Canis lupus familiaris: one gene and its partners. The main gene of each other region encodes a partner of the protein of the gene in region 2 in a complex. Links are inferred from orthologs where the notes say so. Each region holds a gene or a part of one and is shown on either strand. Other genes may lie near its edges. The genes, in order: MED31, MED24, MED21, CCNC, MED26, MED18 and MED20.

What was found.
Region 1: MED24 (region 2) and MED31 share a complex: the UniProt entries of both Homo sapiens proteins name them as parts of the mediator complex. The link is inferred for Canis lupus familiaris from reciprocal best matches to the Homo sapiens genes MED24 and MED31.
Region 3: MED24 (region 2) and MED21 share a complex: the UniProt entries of both Homo sapiens proteins name them as parts of the mediator complex. The link is inferred for Canis lupus familiaris from reciprocal best matches to the Homo sapiens genes MED24 and MED21.
Region 4: MED24 (region 2) and CCNC share a complex: the UniProt entries of both Homo sapiens proteins name them as parts of the mediator complex. The link is inferred for Canis lupus familiaris from reciprocal best matches to the Homo sapiens genes MED24 and CCNC.
Region 5: MED24 (region 2) and MED26 share a complex: the UniProt entries of both Homo sapiens proteins name them as parts of the mediator complex. The link is inferred for Canis lupus familiaris from reciprocal best matches to the Homo sapiens genes MED24 and MED26.
Region 6: MED24 (region 2) and MED18 share a complex: the UniProt entries of both Homo sapiens proteins name them as parts of the mediator complex. The link is inferred for Canis lupus familiaris from reciprocal best matches to the Homo sapiens genes MED24 and MED18.
Region 7: MED24 (region 2) and MED20 share a complex: the UniProt entries of both Homo sapiens proteins name them as parts of the mediator complex. The link is inferred for Canis lupus familiaris from reciprocal best matches to the Homo sapiens genes MED24 and MED20.

The regions. Positions count from the first base shown.
Region 1 is NC_049226.1:30,892,170-30,896,157, reverse strand, and holds the start of MED31 (mediator of RNA polymerase II transcription subunit 31), read right to left. Parts: upstream 2,801-3,988; 5' UTR 2,673-2,800; coding exon 2,645-2,672; intron 1,947-2,644; coding exon 1,869-1,946; intron 1,582-1,868; coding exon 1,485-1,581; intron 1-1,484. UniProt on the Homo sapiens protein: Component of the Mediator complex, a coactivator involved in the regulated transcription of nearly all RNA polymerase II-dependent genes.
Region 2 is NC_049230.1:22,449,540-22,453,493, reverse strand, and holds the start of MED24 (mediator of RNA polymerase II transcription subunit 24), read right to left. Parts: upstream 2,801-3,954; 5' UTR 2,642-2,800; intron 2,264-2,641; 5' UTR 2,185-2,263; coding exon 2,055-2,184; intron 1,967-2,054; coding exon 1,884-1,966; intron 1-1,883. UniProt on the Homo sapiens protein: Component of the Mediator complex, a coactivator involved in the regulated transcription of nearly all RNA polymerase II-dependent genes.
Region 3 is NC_049248.1:25,934,982-25,939,046, reverse strand, and holds the end of MED21 (mediator of RNA polymerase II transcription subunit 21), read right to left. Parts: intron 2,636-4,065; coding exon 2,521-2,635; intron 1,998-2,520; coding exon 1,897-1,997; intron 693-1,896; coding exon 516-692; 3' UTR 501-515; downstream 1-500. UniProt on the Homo sapiens protein: Component of the Mediator complex, a coactivator involved in the regulated transcription of nearly all RNA polymerase II-dependent genes.
Region 4 is NC_049233.1:58,015,467-58,018,966, reverse strand, and holds part of CCNC (cyclin-C), read left to right. Parts: intron 1-1,031; coding exon 1,032-1,087; intron 1,088-1,981; coding exon 1,982-2,017; intron 2,018-2,691; coding exon 2,692-2,783; intron 2,784-3,427; coding exon 3,428-3,495; intron 3,496-3,500. UniProt on the Homo sapiens protein: Component of the Mediator complex, a coactivator involved in regulated gene transcription of nearly all RNA polymerase II-dependent genes.
Region 5 is NC_049241.1:46,379,603-46,383,102, reverse strand, and holds part of MED26 (mediator of RNA polymerase II transcription subunit 26), read right to left. Parts: intron 1,599-3,500; coding exon 1,524-1,598; intron 703-1,523; coding exon 1-702. UniProt on the Homo sapiens protein: Component of the Mediator complex, a coactivator involved in the regulated transcription of nearly all RNA polymerase II-dependent genes.
Region 6 is NC_049223.1:71,505,649-71,508,459, forward strand, and holds the end of MED18 (mediator of RNA polymerase II transcription subunit 18), read right to left. Parts: intron 1,406-2,811; coding exon 852-1,405; 3' UTR 501-851; downstream 1-500. UniProt on the Homo sapiens protein: Component of the Mediator complex, a coactivator involved in the regulated transcription of nearly all RNA polymerase II-dependent genes.
Region 7 is NC_049233.1:10,759,470-10,762,969, reverse strand, and holds part of MED20 (mediator of RNA polymerase II transcription subunit 20), read left to right. Parts: intron 1-943; exon of another isoform or gene 944-1,017; intron 1,018-1,234; exon of another isoform or gene 1,235-1,484; coding exon 1,485-1,738; exon of another isoform or gene 1,739-2,337; intron 2,338-3,403; coding exon 3,404-3,500. UniProt on the Homo sapiens protein: Component of the Mediator complex, a coactivator involved in the regulated transcription of nearly all RNA polymerase II-dependent genes.

The DNA of each region.
Region 1 (3,988 bases), on a different chromosome or scaffold from region 2:
ATATCCCAAAATAAGGAAAAACTTTCCAGCACCCAGCTAATGGTGCAACTGTCCCTAAATGGAGAACAGGTGCTCACTGGACCCATGCAGAGTGTAGACGGCCAGCCCTGAACTAGACCTTGCCTGTGTCTCCAGGTCCAAATGGAGTCTCCAAGTCTACACATGCACACAACAGCTAATGAAAAAGCTTTTCTCCGGATTATTCAATGAATAAGTGGCTGTTCATAAAGGAGCAGTCAGGGTGTACAGGGTCCTGCAGGGAGAAGGATGTGGGTTTTGTGAATCAGTTGACACAAATCAAAAAAGTGACTTGGAAAAAAAATAAAAATACAAAAAATAAAAAGTGACTTGGATAAAGTACAAGTCTGAATCATTTTCCTATCAAACGTGTTTGTTTAAAAGAAAGACAAGAAAAAAAAAAAAAAAAAAAAAAAGAAAGACAAGAAGTTCAACTATTGCTTTCTGACTACCTAGTGAAGACAAAGAAGAGGGATGGGTTCAAGGTTGAAACAAGTGTGATGCTTGGCACAGAGGAGGCACAGCAGCTATAGACACACTGGTTTGGGTTTGTTTTTTGGACTTTTTGTTTAAAAATTAAAGGCGTGTGGCAACCCATCAGCAAGCAAGTCTATGGGTACCATTTTTCCAACTACATTTGCTCACTTTATGTCTGTCATTATTTGATAATTCTCACATTTCAAACTTTTCTTTATCATTGTATTTGTTAGGGTGATCTGTGATCAGACTCCATAAAACCTCAGATGACAGTGTTTTTTAACAATATTTTTAAATTAAGGTATGTACCTCTTTCTTGACTTAATGCTATAGTGTTAACAACCCTTATACGCACTAGAGAACCCAAAAACTTGGGTCACTTTATTGCAATATTCACCACATTGCAGTGGCCTGGAACCACATCAACAGTATCCAAGGAATGCCTATATTAAGAGTCAGGTAAGGTCACCTCCTCCAGAAAACCTTCCAAGTACCTGATGTTCTTTAATCTTCAGCCTCAGGTAATACCACTGCATCTACAGACTGTGGGTTCATTAGGGTCAGAAATTCAGTGAGATGGGGTGAGTGGTAGATAGATAAAGAGAGACCTGAGAAAAGAGAGAGGATTTTGTTTCACATGCAATGGGAAACCACTGGGAGGTTTTAAGCAAGAAAATACCACGTCATAATTTACATTTTTGAAAGATCAAGTTGGCTTCCCTGTGGAAAACTGTTTTGCTTGGTTTGGCTTGCGGGAGGGAGGACACAGAAGGAAGGTAAGAGCACAAGCAGGGAGAAGCAGGGGGGTGGACACCGCAATAATCCAAGCTGGAGAGGGGGTGGCTCTGTATTAAGGTGGAGGCAACTGAAAGAAGTGGAGAGATTCAAAATATACTTTTTTCCAATGGGAAATGAGAAAATCTGTCAAATATCAGTATTTTTAATGTAATAACTATACACATATTTAGGACTATAAAAATTAAACTTACTTTAGATACTTGGCATATTCTGGTTCTTTCCAGTAAAGCAAGTACTTAAGATAATTAACAAAAGCTTTGTCTTTGAAGTAACCTCTTTGGGCAAGAACTGAAAGGCATAAACAAACAAACAAAAAAATCTGTAGAGCAAACCAATCCTCGGACTACTGATTTGTGACCCCTCACATAAAGCATCTACTTATATAACTTCCCCACCACCAACACACACTAAATGCTGAACATAAGTCCCAATTTGTTCTCACACACACCAGTATAAGCGTAGCAGTTAATTCCACTGGATTGAGAACATATAAAAATAGGTATCATTAGGAACTGCAGTTCTTCTGCCAGAGATCACTAACAGCTACTCAAGTCAGTAAGAGCTCAAGGACTTACAGTTAAGATAATTGGGGTTGGCTAGGCACTGCACAAATTCCAGCTCCAACTGAAACCGAAGTCGATTCCCGGCATCATCTAGGAGGGAAGTGAGCAAAAATCATCCAAAGTAAAGGTGACTAAAAAATAAATAAAATAAATAAAAAACAAAATAAAGGTGACTATCTAAAGTGCTGGTTTGTAGAAAGAAAACAGCAGTGGAGTGTTCTGAGTATTGCTGAGAGTATCTCTGAAGGCATAAGGCAGGGATGACTGTCCTAAGCTGGATGTGGGAAGAGAGGGCCGTTTCCTCCCAAGTCTAGAGAGCAGGGCCCTGATTAATGAGACCAGTAACTCCTTAAGGAGAAGTCCGAGGAAGCGGGCGCCCCCTGGGCAGGATGTTCACCCTCTGGCAGCCACTCCCCAGGACCTCCAGGGTGACCAGTGGCGGAGGGCTGCAAGCTAAGCAAGAGGAGGGGGCGAGTGTGCTCCCGCTAGGGCCTGGCGGGGAGGGGGGACTGGTTCGGGGCGGCAGGATTTGGGAGGCCCGGGGGAGGGGGGTGTCAGAGCCCGGAGGCTGGGAGGGCCAGGACCTGGGATGGGTCGGGAGGCCGCGGGGTCGGGGCCCGGGAGGGGTTGAGGCTGAGGGGTGGTCGGCGTCTGCGCGGCAAGCGAGGAGGAGGTAGCCGCGGACAGGAGCCCCGCCGAAGTCACGCCACACAGGAGTCCCGGGGGAAGCTGGAGGAGGAGGCCAGCCGGCTGTAGCTGTGTTTGCCAGGGCTCCGGCCGCTACCTACCTGTCTCCATAGCGACGGCCGCGGCCATCGCCAGCAAAAGCGCCGAGACGTCACCAGCACGACGAGCAGCTTCCCGGAGGTCCCGGAAGCTGCGGCCCCACTTCCTGTCGCGGGGCAGTGTGGGATGCGGGGCGGGGCGGTCCTCTCGGGCCCCGCCCACCGGCCTCGCGCAGACTCGCAAGGGGCGAGGGGCGGAGCTGGGGCGCTCCGAGCGCGGGAGGGGTCCTGTCCCCGCCTCTCTGCTCGCCCAGTGACGTAGCCGCGGGGGTCCCGAGCGCCTCCGGGAGCGCCTACATCCCCTCGGTGGGGTCTCCCGCGGGGGCAGTCCTCAGCCGGGAGAACGCCCAGCGGCCGTTCCAACCCACAGGGACCCCCCCCTTGACCCGAGCGCAGGTGCGGCAGGTGCGGCAGGTGCGGCAGGTGCGGCAGGTGCGGCAGGTGCGGCAGGTGCGGCAGGTGCGGGGTCGGCACTGGGCCAGCCCCCTCCGCCGCGCGTCGGCCGGGTGGCCGCACCGTTGACCCCGGGAGCCCCCTTGCAGCAAGCCAGCACTGGAGGTCCGCAGGCCCGCGACGCTCCGCCAGCCTGATGGGCTGATGGATAGGGAGGCTGTTGTTCCAACCACCCTCACGATCCAGACTTCGGGGACAGGGAGCAAACCCAAACCGTGACCACTGGGAGGATCACACCGCGGCCGGAAACCGAGGGGCAAGAAACAGACCTCCATTAATTAACCAGTTGGCCTTTGTGTTTCAAACCAAGCAGGTATTTTGTTTATGCTAAGCCCTGTGCCCTGTACGGGCACCCCCAGTCACACACATTTCCATACAGGTCAGACTAGATAAAAGTCAACATCTACCATGAGGCGTGATCTCGGAAGGGAACCCGGCCCGGGTCTCGCAGAGGGCGGGGAGGGCAGTACTATTTATGGAGCCTCTCCTCTGTGGGCACTTGGACAAGGTAGGCAGGACCCAGGCTCTCAGGAGCTCACACTGGTGAAGGGGCACACGGCAAATGATGAAAAGACCATTTTCTATCGCAATGAGTAACTGAAGGAAACAGGTAATGGGAGGGGTTCCTCACTCAGAAGTGTCAGGGAAGGCCTTGGTTAGGGGACTTGGATCTGAGGCTTGTGTGGGTGGACAGTGAGCCGTGCAGGGGTCTGGGACAGCAACGCAAGGGCTGGACGGGAGCAATCTTGGAATGTTCTGGAACAGAAAGAAGACCAGCGTTGTTGGAGCTATGCGAGGGACAAGCGTGGTACAGGAGAGAGGACGTTAGCGAAAGAAGCAGCAGCAAGTTCACAAAGGGTCTTGGAAGCCATAGAAAGGGGCTTGGGTTTTATT
Region 2 (3,954 bases):
TGTCTCTATGAATAAATAAATCTTTAAAAAAAAAAGTATTGCTAAGATGTTATTTGCCTTTTCTACTCTCATTCTCCCACAACTGTATGTGGAACATCCCAAAGGCTCCATGACATGTGAATCATATAATTAAATGTGTCAACAATTGGAATATCTGTGTAACCCAGTAACAGATATTTTCCACATGACCACTTCGTGATATTATAAAATCATGCATGAGTAAAAGATCTGTTCAAAATGCAAGAGAGAGACCAATGGATTTCAATGTAACAGAGTATAAAAAGTTCATTGAGTGGAGCCTGGCTCCAACTGAGCCAGAGCATGAGACTCTTGATCTCAGAGTAGTGAGTGAGTTCAAGCCCCACATTGGATGAAGAGCTTACTTAAAAAATAATTAACTTATTTTTAAGTTCATTTATGTGGTTTCACATCACCTGTTGAATTTTTGGTGTCAATGAATATCCAGTTATTTGAAAAGCTTAACATTCTCTGCCCTGGGCAGCCCTGGTGGCGCAGCGGTTTAGCACCGCCTGCAGCCGGGGTGTGATCCTGGAGACCTGAAATCGGGTCCCACGTCGGGCTCCCTGCATGGAGCTTGCTTCTCCCTCTGCTTGTGTCTCTGCCTCTCTCTCTCTCTCTGTGTCTCATGAATAAATAAATAAAATCTTAAAAAAAAAAATTCTCTGCCCTTTTCAAACTAAATGTCTGATGTGTAAGGCCAGATTTTCTTCATAAACTTCAACCAAAATAGCCTATTGCAACAATTGAATGCAGAAGCAGATATGAAAATTCAGCTGTCTTCTATTAAACCATTAAAGAGATTTGCAAAAACGTAAAACAATGACACTTTCCTCACTAGCTTTTTTGTTTTGGGAAATATGGTTTCCATTAAAATGTTATTTATATTAATGTGTAATATAACAGGCTTTATTTAACAGACTTTACTTTTTATTACTTTTAAATAAGTTCATAATTATTCTTTAAATTTCTCAGTTTTCATTTCTAAAACGGTAAATATGGATAGACGTAATACATATAAACAAAAGCTTTGTGGGAGTCTCAACAGTTTTTAAGAAAATAAAAGGGTCCTGAGACCAAAACTACTGCTCTACCCATATAAATTTTTTTCGGTTCCTAAACAACATGTGATTTTTGCCTCCCAGCCTCTAAATATGCTTTTCTTTCTGCTTAGTACACTCTCACCAATATGCCTGGCTAACTCCTATTAACAATACGATCTTGGTTTAAACATCACTTTCTCCAGAAAGCCTTTCCTGATTGCCTAGCTGAATTCCATGCCTCTCGCACATACTCCCCTAGTACTGTCTTAACCTTCGTCATAAACCCATCCTGTGGGATCCCTGGGTGGCGCAGCGGTTTGGCGCCTGCCTTTGGCCCAGGGCGCGATCCTGGAGACCCGGGATCGAATCCCACATCAGGCTCCCGGTGCATGGAGCCTGCTTCTCCCTCTGCCTGTGTCTCTGCCTCTCTCTCTCTCTGTGACTATCATAAATAAATAAAAAAAAAAATTTAAAAAATAATAATAATAATAAATAAATAAATAAATAAATAAACCCATCCTGTGACTGCTTATGTCTGTTATTACTCACTAAATTCCTTGTGTGTACTGGGATCAGGTCTTGTTCACAGCTATATCCCCAGGGCCTATACCACTATCTGACACACTTATGAATATTTATTGATAGAATAAATTCATGTAACATTCATCACAACCAATGAAGTATTATTATTTTCACAAGAAAACTGAGGCTCAGAGAAGTGTTGTGTTGAAACAAATCCACCTAGAAAGCGAGAGCTGACGATTGTACTCCAAGTCTTTTACCTTCAAATCCTCACTCTCTGGAATAGGTGGGGCAGTTTACCTGGGAACTAATGGCATACTTCAGGTAGGACAGGATGAGAGGATTGGGGGAAGGTCCAATCATGGCCTGCTCCAGTAGTGCTTCTGCAAGGGGAATAACAAAGCAAGACTGAGTGGTTATAATTTTTATGGGTTTAGCCCTCCCATCCTTCCTTCCTACTCCACTTGAGACCTGCTAGGTTGAGGATGTCCCAGGTGGCTCCTTTGGGAAAGAATTTCTTCATGTTGATTGCCCACTGGTAGTCACTCCATCGCTCTTTCCAGGCTTGCAAAATGGCTTGCTTCAAGTTCACTACCTTCATGATTTCACTCGGAGAAGGGGCCGATGGCAGTCAGCTTTGAGGTGGGAGAAACTGAGCTAAGAGAAGGGGAGAGGAGATTCTGAAGGAAAGAACAGAGAAGGGCCAGGTTGAATGAAACGGATACGGGAAGATTTAAGGGAGGCAGAAGAACTACAAAGAAAAAATGGGGAAGAGGACAAGGAAGAGATTCTGTCAGGTTCCTCCCTCCTGAATCATCCTTCCTTAAACTGGAGCACTAAGAAAAGGGTGTCAAAGGGACTTAATATAAAGAGTAAAGAGGGTGGCAAGGGGTTAAGCCAATACGAATGCCTAATTACGCCCTCAGCTCTGGCTGCGTCCCTCAGCCCCTACCACCCCAAACCCACAGTTTTTCCTCCATTTCCTCCACCTCCCCCAACCTTGAAACTATAATTCCCTATTTCCTTTTCATCCACCACCTCCCCAATTTTAAGCCTACCGTACAAGCTAGTTCTACATCCTAAGTGTCGCCATCTTGGCACTTATCAAAGAGCTTAACTTCTATTGGCTGGGAGTAACAAACATGAGCCAATAAGAATGCGGCAAGAGACAGGTCACTCCACGATGTCTTCTGGGAATTGTAGTTCCTTGGCCTGGGCTAGTGAGAACCCAAGGGACTAAGCTAGTCAGCCTGCATTGTTTCTCTGCTTTGGAAAAGGACAGGCAGGAGCTGAAGCATCACAGAGACTCCGGGAGCGAAGAGGGGGAGAGCTCTCAAAAGACTGCTCGTAAACAGGCGTCGCCCAAAGACGTCACTGTTGACCAGGCATTTAAATGATATTCTGACACTCTTTCGTTATATGCTAGTAGGCACAGTAGGGGTGTGGTTTTTGTTCAGTAATACGTTTTTCTCTTCTCTGGCCTTTTTTTTTTTTAAATCAATCAATTAATTAATTAATTAGTTGGTGCTCCTACACCTCTGCATATACCAGAGTTCTCGTATTCCAAAGGCGACATTGGGGCTTGATCAGTTGCACATACATCACCATTTAACCCCCAGATTTGGCAGTCCTCCCAGAATCTCCTGGCCCCGCATACTGCTTGAATATGGGGAGAACTAAGGAGGAAAATAGGGGTAAGGTTATTAAAATTAAGGAAAGTCTAAGAAACTGTCATAGCCAAGAGAACTTAAGGAGACATAATTTTTTAAAATTTATTTATTCATGAGAGACACACACAGAGAGAGAGAGAGGCAGAGACACAAGCAGAGGGAGAACCAGGCTCCATGCAGGGAGCCCGATGTGGGACCCGATCCCGGGACTCCAGAACCCCGCCCTGGGCCAAAGGCAGACACTAAACTGCTGAGCCACCCAGGGATCCCCAAGGAGACATAATTATTAAATGTAACTTGGTATCCCTCCCAGATGTTGTCCTGGAACAGAAGAAGAACATTAGGTGAAAACTAAGAAATACGAGAAAAGCATAGATATCAGTTAATAATAACATACCAATAGTAGTTCATTCATTGTAAAAAAAATACCATACTAACATAAGAGGCTAAATAAAAGGAGAAATTGGGTATGGGGTAGATGGGGGCTCCCTACTATATCTTTTCCTGTATATCTAAACCCATTTTTATTTTTATTTATTTATTTATTTATTTTTAATTTATTTATGATAGTCACAGAGAGAGAGAGAGAGAGGCAGAGACACAGGCAGAGGGAGAAGCAGGCTCCATGCACCGGGAGCCCGATGTGGGATTCGATCCCTGGTCTCCAGGATTGCGCCCTGGGCCAAAGGCAGGTGCCAAAC
Region 3 (4,065 bases), on a different chromosome or scaffold from region 2:
CCCTAAGTTTCTTAAAAGCAATATGGTTTCAGAAACCTTCCTTGCTCAAACTCCAAATTTATATAATGTCACCTCTGAAGAGGCAGAAGGATATCAACCTATATTGAAATGTCTCATATCTCTACATTTACCATTTCTCCTTTGGCTTGAGGGATATTTGATTTGCAAAAAAGACTGTAGAAATTTGATAAAAATAAAAATAGAAATGTCACAACAGAATTTTAAAGTACATCTGTTTAATAATAATATAACCATTAATGCAATATCTGCCTCAATAATTTCATTCCAATAATAAAAAAATGATATGATGGTTTAAAACTGGTTCAATCGCAATTTTAGAGGCTTATTTATCAAGAGTGAAAATAGAAGACTATTAAAAAATAGCTAAAAAGGTAACATGTGTCATAGTGCTTAATGTTTCTGTAACTGTTGGTAAGGCTTACATCTAAATTTGATGCAGAACTCTTAATGGCACTGAAATAGTTCTTTTCTCACCCACATGGTAGATACCGGTACTATGAGTCTGGAAGAGACTGGCTATGGGTACCACTCCTTGTCTTCAGTTGTGACTGTGCAATATCAGCAAGTGCACTTTGTATCTTTTCCAGAAGCATGTCCCCTCGGTAAACAACATCCTCCAGACATGTAGCAGCTTCGTGGTTTTCTTCTTCCAGCTTATACAAGCTAGCAGCCTTTGTAAGACACAAATTTAAAAATCTTTTGAGAAATGAAAAACTTGGAGATTAGTTAAGAGTTGAGAAGAAAAAAAACTGCAGAAGTATTTATTTTTAAATCTGGATGATTCTGCAACCATTATGATAGATTTTTCAGTGTCAGAAATTCTAAAATCAGGGGACGCCTGGGTGGCTCAGCAGTTGAGCATATGTCTTTGGATCAGGGCGTGATCCTGGAGTCCAGGGATCGAGTCCCACATCGGGCTTCCTACATGGAGCCTGCTTCTCCCTCTGCCTATGTCTCTGCCTCTCTCTCTCTCTGTCTCTCATGAATAAATAAATAAATAAATCTTTAAAAAAAAAAAAAAAGAAAGAAACTCTAAAATCAGGTAACTTTTAAGGAGCTTTCCCTGTATGAATTACTTAAAAGAATGAATTTTCAATTAGAGATCTCTGTCTAGATGTGACACTCTAGATGTGACACTGCTTTTGGACACTACTATTCTACACACCCAGAATGCCACTCTCCTCTCATTCTTTGCTAGGAAAAGAGCCAAACTGAGAAGACTAAGAAGTTTCCTTATAGCTCGAAATTGGACAACCATATATATTCAGCATGATCTTTAATAGACTACAGTAGTTTACAATTAAGAAAACTTCCATTTTAAAACTTAATCTTGGGGTGCCTGGCTGGCTCAGTCAGTGGAGCACGTGACTCTTGATCTCAGGGTTGTGACTTCGGTCCCCATGTTGGATGTAGAGATTACTTAAAAATAAAATCTTTCAAAAATAAATAAATGAAACTTAATCTTAAGGAAACTTTGAATATTGTAACAAAAGGTATTAAATCTTTGGGGCAATGACTGGCTCAGTCAGAGGAGTGTTGTGATTCTTGGATCTTGGGGTCATGAGTTCAAGCCCTCATGGGTTCAGTGTAGAGATAACTTAAAAAAAAAAAATCTCCTGGGCAGCCTGGGTGGATCAGTGGTTTAGTGCCACCTTCAGCCCAGGGCATGACCCTGGAGACTGGGGATCAAGTCCCACGTCGGACTCCCTCCAAGGAGCCTGCTTCTTCTCTGCCTGTGTCTCTGCCTCTCTTTCTCTCAGTGTTACACACTCTCATGAATAAATAAATAAAATCTTAAAAAAAAAAAAAAAAAAAACACCTCCTTTAATCAAAATACTCTACTAGCAAATTTCTCAAAGGAAAAGAGATTTTTACCTGTAAAGCAGCTGTAGATTCTTCACTGGGTAATGAATCTATCAAAACATCAATGTCCTTTGCTGTTCGTGCAATTAGTGCTGCAAAAAGCTGGGCATATTCTAAAGAAAGATATTACTCATTTAGAGTATTAGGAAATGTCAAGTTTTCAGAAGTAGAAATTAAATTTGAACCTAATGAAACCAGAGAAGGTCATAAACTTTTTCTGTACTATGCTTTGAATGATTAAAATGTAATTCTAACACACCAACCCTATCACATGTTTGAGAAGTAGCCTTACTATTAACTCAAATTGGGAACTAAACATAATTATTTCATTTTTTTAGGACAGTATGTCAGTCATTTGAATAAAAGAATATGTAAATGGAATGCCTTCCTTATTAAGGCCCCTCAAGTGAAATTCTGCTAAATTCATGTAAAGTCAGCTGTAAAGGAATAACAATCTGCTTTTTGTCATGAACAGAATTACGAAATGTAGAATATCTAATGAAATCATCTTTTATAACAAAACTTACAGTAATATTCTCAAATCATAAGTAAGCTGTATTTCTCAATAAATTTAATATTAAAAGATTATAAAGATTATAAAGGTCAAATGAAGAGAAGCCAAGAAAATCTATTTACCTTCTGTAGGATTAGCTGGCTGATCTTTGTTAATTGCTGTCTGAATATTACTGAAAGAAGCAGGAGGACCACACTGCTGCAACACTCCAATGGCATTACAAAACTGATCTGCAAGCTTGAAGCCAAAGAAAATGTGTCAGAGTTAGAAAGGACTGATCAGTTTTAAGGATTTTACCAGTAACAGCAACAAAAATAAGTTTCTATAATAACAATATCTAAGCAAGGGAATAAAACAGGAAGAATCTGGGATAAAATTAGCTAGTTATTATTAACAATGATTAAATGTTTAATCACGCAAGGAAACTAGGTTTGGTATCAACATAGTTGAAACAGTTAACAGGAAATACAAGATAATCTTTGTTTTCTTCCCAAGGTAACAGAATGATAAGAGAAATAAATGCCAACACTTGTTACAAGCAGAAGTAGGGATTTTTGGGGGGTAGCGGTGGAAGAAAGCAAATCTACTGGCAAATATGTAAGTATGGCCTTAGGATAAATTTTAAAATATGTAATTTATATACAAAGTATTTGATCCCTTTTTTGAGACTAAAGTAGTTACAACTATAAAAAAATAGTGGGGAAAAGACTCCACCTGAAGAAATTATAAGGCCATGATGCATGAATGAAAAAAGAAACTGTGGTACACACACACAGGCACATCATTCAGCCATTAAAGAAAAACGGGGGAAATCTTGCCATTGCAACAAGAATAGACCTTGCGGGCATTATGCTAAATGAAATAAGTCAGGGAAAGACAAATATTACATGATTTCACTTATATGTGTAATCTAAACAAAAACTGAGCTCACATACAAAGACTCCTGGTTATCAGAGGTGAGGTGGGGCTTATGGTGGGCAAAAAGGGTGAAGGGAGTCAAAAAAGTACAACCTTCCTATCCCCTTAAGTCATGGGGATATAACATACAATATGGTGACTATGGTTAATACTGTTTGTATATTTTAAAATTGCTAAGAGAGTTATCTTAGAAGTTCTCATCAAAAGAAAAAAAATGAACTTTATAACTACAGTACAGTGACATGTTAACTAGATTTATTGTGACTTCACAATATATGCAAATAGTGAACCATTATGTTGTACACCTGAAACTAATGTTCTGTCAATTAAAAAAAAAAAAAAAACCCTCTACCTTAAGTACTTGGAAATGTTTTCCTCTGTGACTCAAGCTGTAAACTCCCAGTGCTCTAACAGTATTCCTTAAACAGTTTTGAAGACAAGAGAATACCAGTTCCTTACAGTTGGCAAAGTTAAAACTCCTATCCTCCCCACTAGCTTCCCTCAATAGTCCTGACCTTTTGAATCTCACTTATTTCCAATCTGTAACTATTTCCACTAAGTTTCTCTGCCATTTTTTAAATGACTGAACTCAAAGTCAACTGTTTCCTTTAATATCTAATCTTATTGAGAATCTCCTAGTTATAAACCAGTCTAACTTCAGACTCTTAATCTCCTTTCATCTTCAAATAGTTCTATTTTCTTTTCATTCTATCATTGGAACAGCAGGAGTTCAATTATCTCACAACAGA
Region 4 (3,500 bases), on a different chromosome or scaffold from region 2:
TTCATGAGAGACACAGAGAGAGAGAGAGAGAGGCAGAGACACAGGCAGAGGGAGAAGCAGGCTCCATGCAAGGAGCCTGACATGGGACTCGATCCTGGGTCTCCAGAATCAGGCCCCTGGCTGAAGGTGGTGCTAAACCGCTGAGCCACCCAGGCTGCCCCAAAGTAAAACTTTTTGAAAATAAAGTATGTAAACTAAATGAAAAAAAATTTAAATCCTTGTGAGGTCTTAGTTTTTATAAAAATGAAAGAAACCACAGAACAGATCCTCTAGAGACTATCTGTAGTCAGTCGCTTGATGAAATGTGGCATCATAGTGATTTGAATACAGTTTTCTCAAGTAGTACTTAAATGTGTATACTTATCATTTTGAGGACATAGAGGATTGATAATCAACAGTTTTTTTCATTTGTACTTAGTGACAAAAAAGAGTAATAATTATATGTTTGTGCGTGGTGTGGAAAAGTGCTGGAGAATTTTGGATGTATGTTTATACTTTTATTAAAATGTATCTTTTGATAAGAAAGTATCTATTATAGAAAGTACAGATTAGTTAAAATCCTTAAATCTCAGATGACCACTATTAACATTCTTTGGTTGTATTATCTTTTCAATTCATATATACGTATGTATGAATACATATATAATTGGTGTTCCTTCCAAGCTAAATTACTGAAAAATAAAACCAATATCATTCTAGAGCTGGAAAGATTTTAGAGATGAAAAAAATCCAAGTGATTTTTTTTTTTTATCCAACCCCTTTATTTTTTAAGCAGCAGAACCCTTTCTTAAGACATGAAGTATATAATTAAAGCTCTCTCTTAATTGTAATATAGTTAGGGCTTCCTGCCACTTAGTTCTTTCTACTTGCCTGAAGACAAAAAACAAAATCTGGGTCCCTAAGCATCTCTAAGAGCTCTTACTAAAAGTGATTTAGCCCTTCCTCTAATATTCTACACGGTGTTAAAGAAATTTTGGTTTAATTTACTTTTTCATTTTCTTAGTTTAAGTCATTTTTTTTGTTTTCTGCAGTAAAAACTAGATTTTCATATGCCTTTCCAAAGGAATTTCCTTATAGGATGAACCATGTAAGTATGTGTTATAAAAAAAAAAACAAACCTGTTTTCAAAGCTGTATAAGCTAGCTCCATTTTATGTTAGAATAAATTGAACAGTTTCCTATAAATGGCAGTTTTAAATACTACAAAAATATAAATTTTAATTCTAAATTAAAGCTAAATTCTAACTTTTTTTAAAAAAAAAAAGTACTTAATAGCAGTGGTTATCAAACCTGGATGCCCATCAAATCACTTTGGGAACTTTTTAATAATGTTAATACCAGAGGCTCTCCAGACCAACTAAAACAGAATTTTTAGGCTTGAGGCCTGGGGACTGGTATTTTCTAAAAGCTCCCAATACTAGTGTGCAGCTAGGACTGAGAACTACTATAATGGAACAATATGAAAACCATATTTGAAACTTTACATTAATTTAGAAGGTGAGTTTCTATTAACATTTTTAATAGACATCTCCTTTTTCTAACTTGTAAGAGATTTCTTCATCTCTGTAAATTGTATATTTTTGTTTTGTATTCAGTATTCTTTCCTTTTATTGATTTGTAATATAAGAGTAACACATAAATAGAGATAATTGCATTTTTTGCATTTGTTGAGTGGAAGGTGTATTGGAAAATCTGAAGTTTACACAGAATATTTTAAATTAAAGTAGTAATGCTTACATGAGGCTGACTTTTCTATAAGGATTAAAATCCTTTATAATAATAATTTCATGCATTGTATGGTAGTAAAAAAGTAATTTTTATTGGGCATGTTCATTCTGATATAAACTACTGTGTATATTTTCTTGATTTAAAAATTTTTGGTAAAAATCTATGTTACATTAATGTATGAATTGTTATGTTAGACTAAGTAGACTCATCTAATTTGTTTCATGTTGACATTTGTAATCTTTTTTTTAAAACAGATATTAGAATGTGAATTCTATCTTTTAGAACTAATGGTAAGTATATTACTTCCTTATGATTAATAGAGTAAAACTTTCAACTACAGTGAAGTCAGAAATATTTAAAGAAATGATTTGTAGGGAGGTGCATTTTAAAACCATCCAAGTTATACATGATGGTGAAATCACAGTATCTAGTAGTATCATCACCTATATCCTCTCACAAGCCTGTAAAATAATTATATATCCCACTTAGGATGGGAAAATTTTTCTGTTCTATAGTAACTATGGTAAAAGGATTACAAGCAAACCAGTCAGGACATTAAGCCACTGTAAATTATTTGCACAATTTGTGTATGTGTGTGGTGTTATTTAAAGATAGATTATGTCTTTGGCAGAATTCTGCTCCTCCAGTTGGGAATTATGGATTTATAGGCTAATAAGAGGTTTCAGTGTGTTGCAGATGTGACACTTTGAGTCTCTAAGGGAATGGATGCTGACTGACTGCCAACCGATTTACCAAGGTATATTCCAGAGAGAGCACTGCCTTCACTATTATAGTAGAGTTTAGGGCTGCCATACTGCTTGCTTAAGAGAATAAGAGGGAAGCAAGCATGACTTAGAGAAATACATTTTGAAATACACAATTATAAATCAGTTGGGTAATGATAAGTTTTTGTGTTGTAATAAATCTGTTTTTATACAATACACATTTTTTAAACTGTTTCTAGGATTGTTGCTTGATAGTGTATCATCCTTATAGACCTTTGCTCCAGTATGTGCAGGACATGGGCCAAGAAGACATGTTGCTTCCCCTTGCATGGTAATTAGAACAGAAGTTATTCATAGTGTAACATATTATTAGCTAGGAAGGTTGACAACTGAATATCAAGTTTAGTATTTTTAAAGTAATTAAACTAGTGCCCCAAGATATTGTATGTTGAGCGAAATATCTGCTCGTTGAATTTTAATTAACTATATTTATAAATGCTAAATTGGTAAGGATTCTTATTTAGTATTTCCATTAAAATTTGATTCTTATAAAAAACATTGTTTACATAAAAATTAAGACAGGTTTTCAAATAGAATGCTTTGTATTGGTATTTAATATACATATTGTATAATTTCTGGTTTCCTCTGATTTTCTAATTTTTGAAAAATTGGAAAAATCATTATATTGTAATTTACTGTAAGGTTTTAAGTTTTAAAATCTATTTAGCAAAAAAATAAAAAATTAAATTAAAATCTATTTAGCTGTAATTTTATCCATTAAAAAATGCTTATTCATTGTCATTTTCATGTATCCATCTTTTTTTCTTGATGTTTTCACCTTTATATCTATGCTTCAATAATATTAAAAGAAATAAATATGTACAAAGATGGGAACTCTGGCCCTCTCTGGAGGGAGATGTACAATCATATAAGGTGGTTCTGATTTCAGTAATAATATGATTTACATTTCTATAGGAGGATAGTGAATGATACCTACAGAACGGATCTTTGCCTACTGTATCCTCCTTTCATGATAGCTTTAGGTAGG
Region 5 (3,500 bases), on a different chromosome or scaffold from region 2:
GGAGCCCTCGTGCCGTGAGTTCCGGGGACTGAAAGAGCAGCGAGGCGGCCCCTTGGGATGGGGAGGGCCTGGAGTCTCATCCACCCGGTCCAGCTGCTGCAGCACTGCAGCCTTTGTCTGCAAGCAGGGGCCGGGTGGCTTGCCTAGGCCCGGGGAGCTGGTATGCGGCCGCACGGCATTGACCGGAATCTTGCCGCTGTGCTTGTCGCTCTCGCCGTGCTCCAGGCGGCCGCCCTCAGGGCCCGAGTGCCCACTGCCGTCCAGGGTACCAGGGAAGCCCTCGGGGCTCCCACCGATCCCGTTGGTGGGGAGAGGGGACGAATTGGGTACCAGGGAGTCATGACTGGCTTTGGAGACCTTAGGAGGTGGCCCAGGGTGGCCGAGGTCACGCTGATCTCCGCGGCGCTTGCGGCTGCCCAGCCTGTCCAGCCGCTGCCCAGGCAGCCTCTGGATGTCATTGCGGTTCTTCAGGTCATGGATGCTCTTAGGCGTGCCGGCCGCCCCCGCCTCCGGCCTGCAGTTATGAGCACCCCCGTTGGCAGAGCCGGTGCCTCCCCCCAGCCCTCGCAGCGCCGCCTCATTCTGGTGCACGGGCTCGATGAGCTTCTGCCAGCTCCGCAGCAGCTTTTTGGCCCGCTTGGCGAGCTCCTCGTTCTTGGTTTTCTTGCGGACGTCGTTGATGAGCTTCCCAAGTCGAGTCTCCTACAACCAGAGAGACGATGACATGCTTTTGGGAAAGAAGTCCCCCATGAAAAGGGAGCTGAGCCAGAAACGGTGGGAAGGGCCCCTAGTCTTTGATTAATCCCACTGACCCTTAAACCACAGAGTTCCTGGATACAAAACCCATAAGGATTTGGTGTCCTTTGTGACATCTAACTTCAAGAATCTAGTCCTTAAACTTTAGGGTCTCAGGGCCACAGGAGGCATCTTCAAAAGTACCATCCCGGGATCCCTGGGTGGCTCAGCAGTTTGGCGCCTGCCTTCAGCTCAGGGCATGATCTTGAGTCCCGCATCAGGTTTCCTGCATGGAGCCTGCTTCTTCCTCTGCTTGCCCCTCTCTCTTTCTCTCTCTCTCTCTCTCTCTCTGTGTCTCTCATGAATAAATAAATAAAATCTTAAAAAAAAAAAAAAAAAAAAAAGCACCATCCCACAGGCTTCTGACCTGGAGGCTGTGGACCATCAAAGCCAGTGAAATGACACTATGCCAAGGAAGCTCTTTGGGAGAAATGCTATGGCAAAGGCAACAGCAAACGGAGGGCCTGAGCCAGCATCACTCACTGGAGCTTAACCCCTCAGGCATGCCTCCCAGGCCTGGGACTAAAGCCACCCGATTCCTGCAGTACCTATAGGAAAATGCTGCTTCTGGGCACAGCAAAGGCCAGGAGAGTATGCACCCCCCTCACTCAGCACTACTAAGTCCTCATCTGGCCAGTGAGAGCACAAGGCTCCAAGAAGCCACGAAGGACTTGGGCTGGGGGAGGCCAAGCTCTGCCCACCCAATATTGGGTCCTGGGGACACTCACCTCCAGTGCCTCTTTGGTAATGGGGTATTTCTCCAGGCTGGAGATGACTTCCAGCACCGCCACCATGTTCCGGATCTGCAAAACAAGAGCCGCTTGTCAAACCTCTGCCCTTCTCCCTGTTCTAGCCCATTCTGGCCTCTCTCCCCAAGGGCCAGTGGAGTCAAGCAACACCAGAGTTCTCACCCCATGCAGCCTCCTCCTCCTACCTGCTCCCAGAGCCAACAAGGTACCCAGTGCTCATGAGCCCGTCCATGGACATGCCTGCCTGCCCAAGTGGTTGTCACATGGCTGAAACCCATGACATTCATGAAATAAGATCTGCTCTTGATATGGCAGAGGTGTTCTACTCTACCATCTCATGGGGGCGGGGGGCAGGGTGCTGAAGATTTATCAAATAAAACACCAAGTTTAAAAGAACAATAAAGGCATACTTCCTTTTGTTGTTCTTGCTTTAATACACTTCACAGATTCTGTGTTTTTTACCAAATGAAGGTCTGTAGCAACACTGCATTGAGCAAGTGTTGGTGGCATTTTTCCAACGGCATTTGCTCACTTTGTGTCTCTGTATCACATTTTAGTAATTCTGATCATATTTCAGATTTTTCCATTGTTATATTTGTTACAGTGATCTGTGTGATCAGTGATTCTTGATGTTACTATTGGTGATTGTTTTGGGGTGCCACAAACTGCACCCATACAAGATGGCAAACTTGATTCATACTGTGTGTGTTCTGACTGCTCCGCTGCCCAGCCATTCCTCTGTCTCCTCTCCTTGGGTCTCCCTATTCCCTGAGACACAACAATATTGAAATTAGGCCAACCCATAACCCTACAAAATGGCCTCGAAGTGTTCAAGTGAGGAAGAGTCACACATCTCTCACTTTAAATCAAAAGCTAGAAATGGGGGGCATCTGGGTGGCTCAGTCTGTTAAGCGTCTGCCTTTGGCTCAGGTCATGATACTGGGATTGAGCCCCAAGTCGGGCTCCCTGCTCTGCAGGGAGTCTGCTTCTCCCTCTCCTCCCCACTTGTGCTCTCTCTCGCTACCCGTCTCTCTCAAATAAATAAAACCTTTTAATAATAATTTTAAAAGGCTATAAATGAGTACACTTAGTGAGAGGAAGGCCTGCCCCAAGCCCCAAACCAAGAAAGGCCTCTTGTTCCAAACAGTTAGCCAAGCTGTGAAGGCAAAGAAAGTTCTTGAGGGAAATTAAAATGCTATTCCAGTGAACAAGCAGAAGAAAGCAAAATTGCCTTACTGCTGATGTGGACCAAGTTTGAGTAGTCTGGATATAAGATCAAACAGCATAACATTCCTTTAAGCCAAAGCCTAGTCTAGAACAAGGCTCTACCTCTCTTCAATTCACTGAAAACTGGAAGAGGTGAGGAAGCTGCAGAAGCAAAGTCTGAAGCCAGTGGAGGTTGGTTCGTGAGGTTTAAGGAAAAGCCAACTTCGTAACCTAAAAGTGCAAGGTGAAGCAGAAAGTGCTGATGTAGAAGCCACAGCAAGGTATCCAGAAGAAGAAGCTGAGATAATTGATAAAGGTGGCTACATCCAACAACAGATTTTCAATGTAGACCAAACAGCTTTCTATTGGGAAAAGATGCTGGCCTTTCATAGCTAGAGAGGAGAAGTCAATGTCTGGCTTCAAAGCTTCAAAGGACAAGCTGACTCTTATTGGGGGCTCATGCAGCTGGTGACTAAGTTGAAGCCGATGCTCATTTACCATTTGGAAAATCCTAGGGCCCCATAAGAATTATGCCAAATTGACTGCATGAGCTCTAGAAATGGAACAACAAAGCCTCATGACAGCACATCAATTTGCCACATGGTTTACAGACTATTTTAAGCCTACTCTTGAGACATACCGCGTTTAGGAAAAAAGATTCCTTTCAAAATACTACCGCTTGTTGACAGTGTACATGGTACCCAAGAGCTTTGATGGCGACGAACAATGAGATTAATGTTCTCATGCCTG
Region 6 (2,811 bases), on a different chromosome or scaffold from region 2:
TGCCTTCAGCCCAGGGCATGATCCTGGAGACCTGGAATGGAGTCCGGCATTGGGCTCCCTGCATGGAGCCTGGTCCTCCCTCTGCCTCTGCCTGTGTCTCTGCCTCTCTCTCTGTGTGTCTCTCATGAATAAATAAATATTAAAAAATAAATAAAGAAAAGTTTTTCAGTGAACGTGCTACTTTGGTTAAAGGTAAAAACTATTACCTTTATCAGGATTCAAACTAAAAACTGTCATTTTTTGGGATGCCTGGATGGCTCAGTGGTTGAGCATCTGCCTTTGGCCCAGGGCAATCTGGAGTCCCAGGATTGAGTCCCACATCGGGCTCCCTGCATGGAGCATGCTTCTCCCTCTGCCTATGGTGCCTCTCCCTCTGTGTCTCTCATGAATAAATAAATAAAATCTTAAAAAAAAAAAAAAACTGTCATTTTTTTTGGTTCCAATTGGTAGTGAATCCACCCCGAATTAGCAGGGTAATAAAGAATTGGAATCACAGATGCTTCTCTTCATAGCCTTTATTACCCCACAATACAAGCTCACAGTCTCTATAAACCTTACACACAAATAGCAAAACAATTAAAAGATTTTTCTTTCTGAAAGCTAATTTATTCTAGTTTCCTCTCTTTATACAAAGGGACTAGATAGACTTCTCATGTTATCCTGAGCCTTTAATTTGGAAAGGCTGTCACAAAAGTGAACTTGTCACGTGAGGAAAACAGTGTAAAGACCCAACTAAGTTCTTACTGTCCTCCTAAGAATGCCTGGCTGGTAGTAATGAAATGGGGCATTTGTAACATCTTCTCTTTTATAACAGGTGAGGATAGGCCCCAGTGGCGGTCAGACTGTCTTAGTCACATGAGCCTTTTGGGGTCTATTTTCTCTAGGTGAACCAGAGGTTTCAGCTGCTCGGCAAAGTTCCTCATGTCATCAGAGACCATGTCCTGCCCAGCTGGTGCAACAACACTCAGTTCCACAAGATAGGAAAGTGACAAGGCCTCAGTGCTGTCTGTGTTTCCTGGTACCAGGATGCGGAAGATCTTGTATACCATAATCTTCATGATACCCTTACGGAACAAGTGACCCTTGGCAACAAACTCATGGTCCATGCGGAAGCCCATTTCCATCAAGAAGTCAGTGAGGTTCTCAGATGTTGCAATGTCCACACAATTTCGCACCAGGGCATGGCGGTTCTTGTCTCCCATTTCCGGTTGTCCCAGGTAGCGTAGATGCCAGGGTGCCCCGCCCCTATCCATAGAACGCCGAGCCCTTAGAACAAATGGACTAGCCTGCTGGCCCTTAAGGAGGAACACCATTTCATGGTCAAGGAAAGTCTCAGGTTCCATGTTGTCACACAAACCACGAAGGCGATGGATGAGGCTTTCCAAACTGTGATCTAAAACACTTCCTGAAGAACAAAAGAGCATTGTTGAGTCCCATCTTTCATTTGGAGTACTGGGATTAGCAAAAGACTGAAAAAATTTAAATGAAAAACCGAAACAGTTTATTGCAGTGTTTTGTAGAGCACAGGTCCAATATATGAGATTTCAGAGGGGTTATGCTGCCAAGGTATTAGATAACACTATGAGAAACTTAATCCCCTTTCAGTTTTTTGCATTGTCTTATTTGGTACTAGAAAGCCTTTAGGCCTTCCCTAAATGGTAATTGCCAGTGGGCTCTGGGCTCAGAGGCTTTAACAACGAGAATAATAGTACTCTTGTCATTTATTTAAAAAATTATCTTTTATTTCTAGCAACACAAGTTTTCGATCTATAGATTATAACATTTCCTTTTTTTGTAAAATATTTAAGTAAAAGAAAATGAAGTGCTCCATAAAAATAGACTGATCTTTGTTCTCATCTTATTCATCCTCCTAGCAGCATCTGACATGGTTGTTAGATTATACCCACCTTGAATCTATTCTTCCCTTGGCCTCTGGGACACAACTCTTAGTTCTTTACCTAACTCACTGACCATTCCTTTTAAGTCTACTTTGCTGGATCTTTCTCACCTTCCCTAAATACTAAAGGATCCTAGGACTCAATCCTGGTCCTCTTTTTAACAATCTCTTCCTCTCAAGGTGACCTAATTTGGTGCTATGGTTTTAAATGCCACTTATGCCCTGAGGCCTCCCATGTTTAACTCATGAACTATAGACTCATATAGCCAACTGTCTACTCAGTTTCTCCACGTGGATACCTAACAGATATCTTCATCTTCATATGTTGAGTATCCAATTGTTGGCTTTTCCTTCACAATCTTATTCCTCTTGCAGTCTTTCCCATCATAGTGAATGGAAGCTCTCTGCTTCTAGTTCCCCAGGCTCCAAACCACAGAATCATCCTGATTCCTTTCTTTCCCCCATATCCTACACCCAATCCATATTTTAAAAATACATGCATAATCCAACCACTTCTCAGCCCCTCATTCATTTCCATCTAGTCCAAATCTCCTTTATTTCTTGCCTGCTTCTACCCTTCTCCCCATAACAGCCAAGTGGTCTTTTTAGAATATAAAGCAGATAATGATATTCTGCTCAGAATCCTCCAATGCCTTCCCTTGTCATTCAGAATAAATCCCAATGTCTTTATCATCATCTACAAGGCCCTATACATTGTGGTCCCTGCTACCAGTCCAACATCATTTCTTTCCACTATCTCCCTAGATCCTCTCACCAGCCACAGTGATCTTCCTGTTATTTCCTAAAATTGCCAAGTATTTGATAAAGTATTTCTATTCAGAACCTCTTCCCTTAGCCCCTACACTTAGAAAAATTTTCTCACTGGTATCTGCATGCCAAACCTGAATACTTTC
Region 7 (3,500 bases), on a different chromosome or scaffold from region 2:
CTCCTGTAGTATGAATTCGGTAATTACAGTGAGTTTGCACAAGAACAGAATGAATGATAGATCAGCTTTGGGTTGTTTGTTTTTCAGGGTTGAAATGTTTTGCTCTGGGTTTAGCAGGAGGTAAAAGGTACCCATTGGCACAAGTGGTCAGGAGGGATGTGGAGAAAGGTTGGTGCAGAGCCTGTTGAGTTCTGGAAGTAGCAGCAGAGTGGAGGCCTATGTAAAGGTCTCTCTGCCCCATCTCGTTTCCACTGTTAAGCTCTCATTCTTGCCTAGAATATCTTTCCTTTTCTATGTGGCCAAACCCTACCTTCTCTTTGTATCATAGTTCAGGTGCTATTTTCTCCACGAAAGTTTTTCCTATTGACTCTTGCACACTTTGATCCTTTCCTGCTCTGGTCTTTTCTTCCTTCCAAAAAGATTTCTGGTCTATCCCACATAAGCGTTTTGGTCTTACTATCTCCTTAATAGTTTTTTATTGTCTTATTGTCTCTAATGAGAGTGTCAGTTTCCTGAGGTCAGGTACTAAGTCTTCTACTTGCATGCCTCTTAAACCCTAGCACGATGTTTGGGATGATTAAGTACTTAGTAAATACTTTATAGCTAAGTCTTCATGAATACTTGGGATTGTGGTAGTGTATCCATTAATTCTTACAGTGTATAAACAGGGGATCTTGCTTTCTATTTCTCAGTTAACCAAATATATGTAGCTTTCCTTCTTGCAGTAAATCTCTAGTAGTAATCAATGAGAAAACTCATTTCTCAGAGACTGGAAAGATTGGATGGGGCTTGAAATGAGACCTTCTGATTCCAGATCCTGAGTTCTTTCTGTGAAAGTGCTGATTGCTTCCCAAGTCAGCTGATGCCTTATAGCACTCCAGGGGTTCATCATTACCTTCAGGGTAAAGTCCAGACTTCTTGAGGCATGGAAAATAAGTCTTACCATAGCTTCACTCTGGCCTTCCTTTCCAGCCTCAAGCTCAGATACTCCCCTTTGCTGCTTCTGTGGGGCCTCTTCTTTTATATCAGGAAGGAGGCCAAAGGAGAAAGGGAAGGACAGAGAAGAGAGCATTTGCTTCATTTTTGTATACTCAAATGCTTTTAATATTACTTCTTATTTTCCTTATTACATAACATAGGATTATACAGAAGACTATGGGAAGTCTCTGTGGGTGATTGATTGTCATCATTAAGCACCCATCTGTGGAGCCCATCATTCAAGAACTAAACTTACCAGTGCTATGGAAGTTCCCTTATGCTCCTCATATTTCCTGGGGAATGAGCTTTTACCACATACTGCCTTGCCCACTGCTCTTCTTCCTTCCTCTTTGTGGAACAGACTGTTGGTGAGGGGATTACCCTCCATTGCCCTCCAAGATGGCTGAGGTAGTGGCAGATTGCCATCTGGCCCTGTTCCATGCATTTGACTATTCCGAGGCTTGCCAACAAAGATCCTGATGCTGATAGGCTCTCTGTCCCTGTAGGTCAGGCCGGGAAACTGATGTACGTGATGCACAACTCAGAGTACCCTTTGAGCTGCTTCGCCCTTTTTGAGAATGGCCCTTGCCTTATTGCCGACACCAACTTCGATGTGCTCATGGTGAAGCTCAAGGGCTTTTTCCAGAGTGCCAAGGCCAGCAAGATTGAGACCCGGGGTACCCGTTACCAGTACTGTGATTTCCTAGTGAAGGTGGGCACAGTCACCATGGGGCCCAGTGCCCGAGGCATCTCTGTAGAGGTAAGACCTTGGGGGAAAAGGAGCAGTATATGCTGAAGGGCTGCTCAGCAGAGGGATTGGTGGATTTCCACGTCCCTCTGAGTGCAAACCGCTGTTGATGCCTTCCTGATCCTGTCCCCAGAGCATCTGTGCTTCTCTGTCTCTGCATCTTTTATCCTTTCTTTAGTCCTTCGGGCTCTGGCCCAGGGTGAGAGTGGGAAGCTGGGGTTGCAGTGGCAGAAAGCTTAGGAAGGCTGGCTTGCTGGAGGAGGGAAGGGATAGCCAAGGGAGACAGGTTGATTGTGATGTGGAGGAACTGGTCACCTGTCACAAGGACTGGAGCAAACCAGGGGGAGACAGTGTACAGGTAACTTTTGGGTGGTGGGCCCTAAATCATGTAACTACACCCCTCTCCATGGTATACTTTAAGATAGGTCTCAAAGGTTCTGTAGCAGAGATGAGCCTTTCCTTTTGATATGCTGTCAACTTTCTTTCATGGTGGAAAGAAGTTTGTGTGGTGATTCCATCTCTGAGGTATATGTTGGAGACCGCAAAGAGGGAGTGTGGCAGTAGCTGGCTTTGGAACCAGTGAAATTCCTCAGTCTGCTATGTGCCCAGCTCTGTGTGAGGAGAAAAAAAATTAGTAAGCTATAGGGCCTGCTTTTTGAAAATGTGTGATTGAGAAAATGAGTGAATCTGAAACACACCGACTGTTTTTTAAGTTAATTTTTAAGGCATTCCCAGGCACAAATTGCTTTGGGAATTTGGGCCAATGAGAGCACTGCTGACTTTGGGGATTGGGATGCTTTCTGCAGGAGTAGCATGTAAAGAGGGATTTATAATGTAGAGATGTGGGAATAGATGAGGCCCACAAAGCATTCCAGGTGGAGAAAAGGGCCTTAGTAGTGATTACTGCTCTGAAACTCCAGTGACCTCTGGGACCAAAGTTTCCTGACTTCTTTTGGCTTGTGATATACCTTGCATTAGCTGAGTCCCACTGGGAACCCACTGTCTGCTTATCCTTCACATTTCTAGCTTTTTTAGTACAGATACATCCCAGCTCTTTTTTACTTGTTTCTCCTTATGGTTACTAGTTATTTTTCTTGCCATCCCTCCAGTGAAAAACTAGGAAAAAGGAATGAGAAAGTCTAAGGTGTATCTCCTTTGGCCCCTGCCACATGGGTTGGGAAATTACTTCTTAGAGTTAGGTGGGGTCTATCTTGGGGGTAATGTTTGGTCTTAAAGAGACTTAGTGTCTACTTTTCTCTCTGGTCACACACACACACAAACACACATCCTTACTTTTCTCTCATTCTTCATTTTCTCTCTCAGACTTTTTCTAGCTCTCCTTCGATCTTAATGCAGCATAGTAGGGACTATACAGTTCTGAGATCATCAAAAGGGGCCTGTATCAAAAGGGGACTTTTGGTCTTGTGGGTTGGGCTGTAGGTTGATAACTCCTAAGATGAGATGAGAATGCCAGAGATGCCTAAAGGGAATAATGCTGGGTATATGGAATCCCAGGTGTTTGGGTTGAGTATTTCCTGTGGAGCAACACTGTGTTAAAAGGTGTTTGTCTTTGGTTTGGGGCTGGAGAATTTAGGAGCAGGGGGTAAGAGGTATAAGAGAAGCAGAAGACCTTGTCCTTGCCTCACTCACCCTTGTTCTATGTTCTTTTGGCCCTAGGTGGAGTATGGCCCCTGTGTGGTAGCTAGCGACTGCTGGAGCCTACTGCTCGAGTTCTTGCAGAGTTTTTTAGGCAGCCACACGCCAGGAGCCCCAG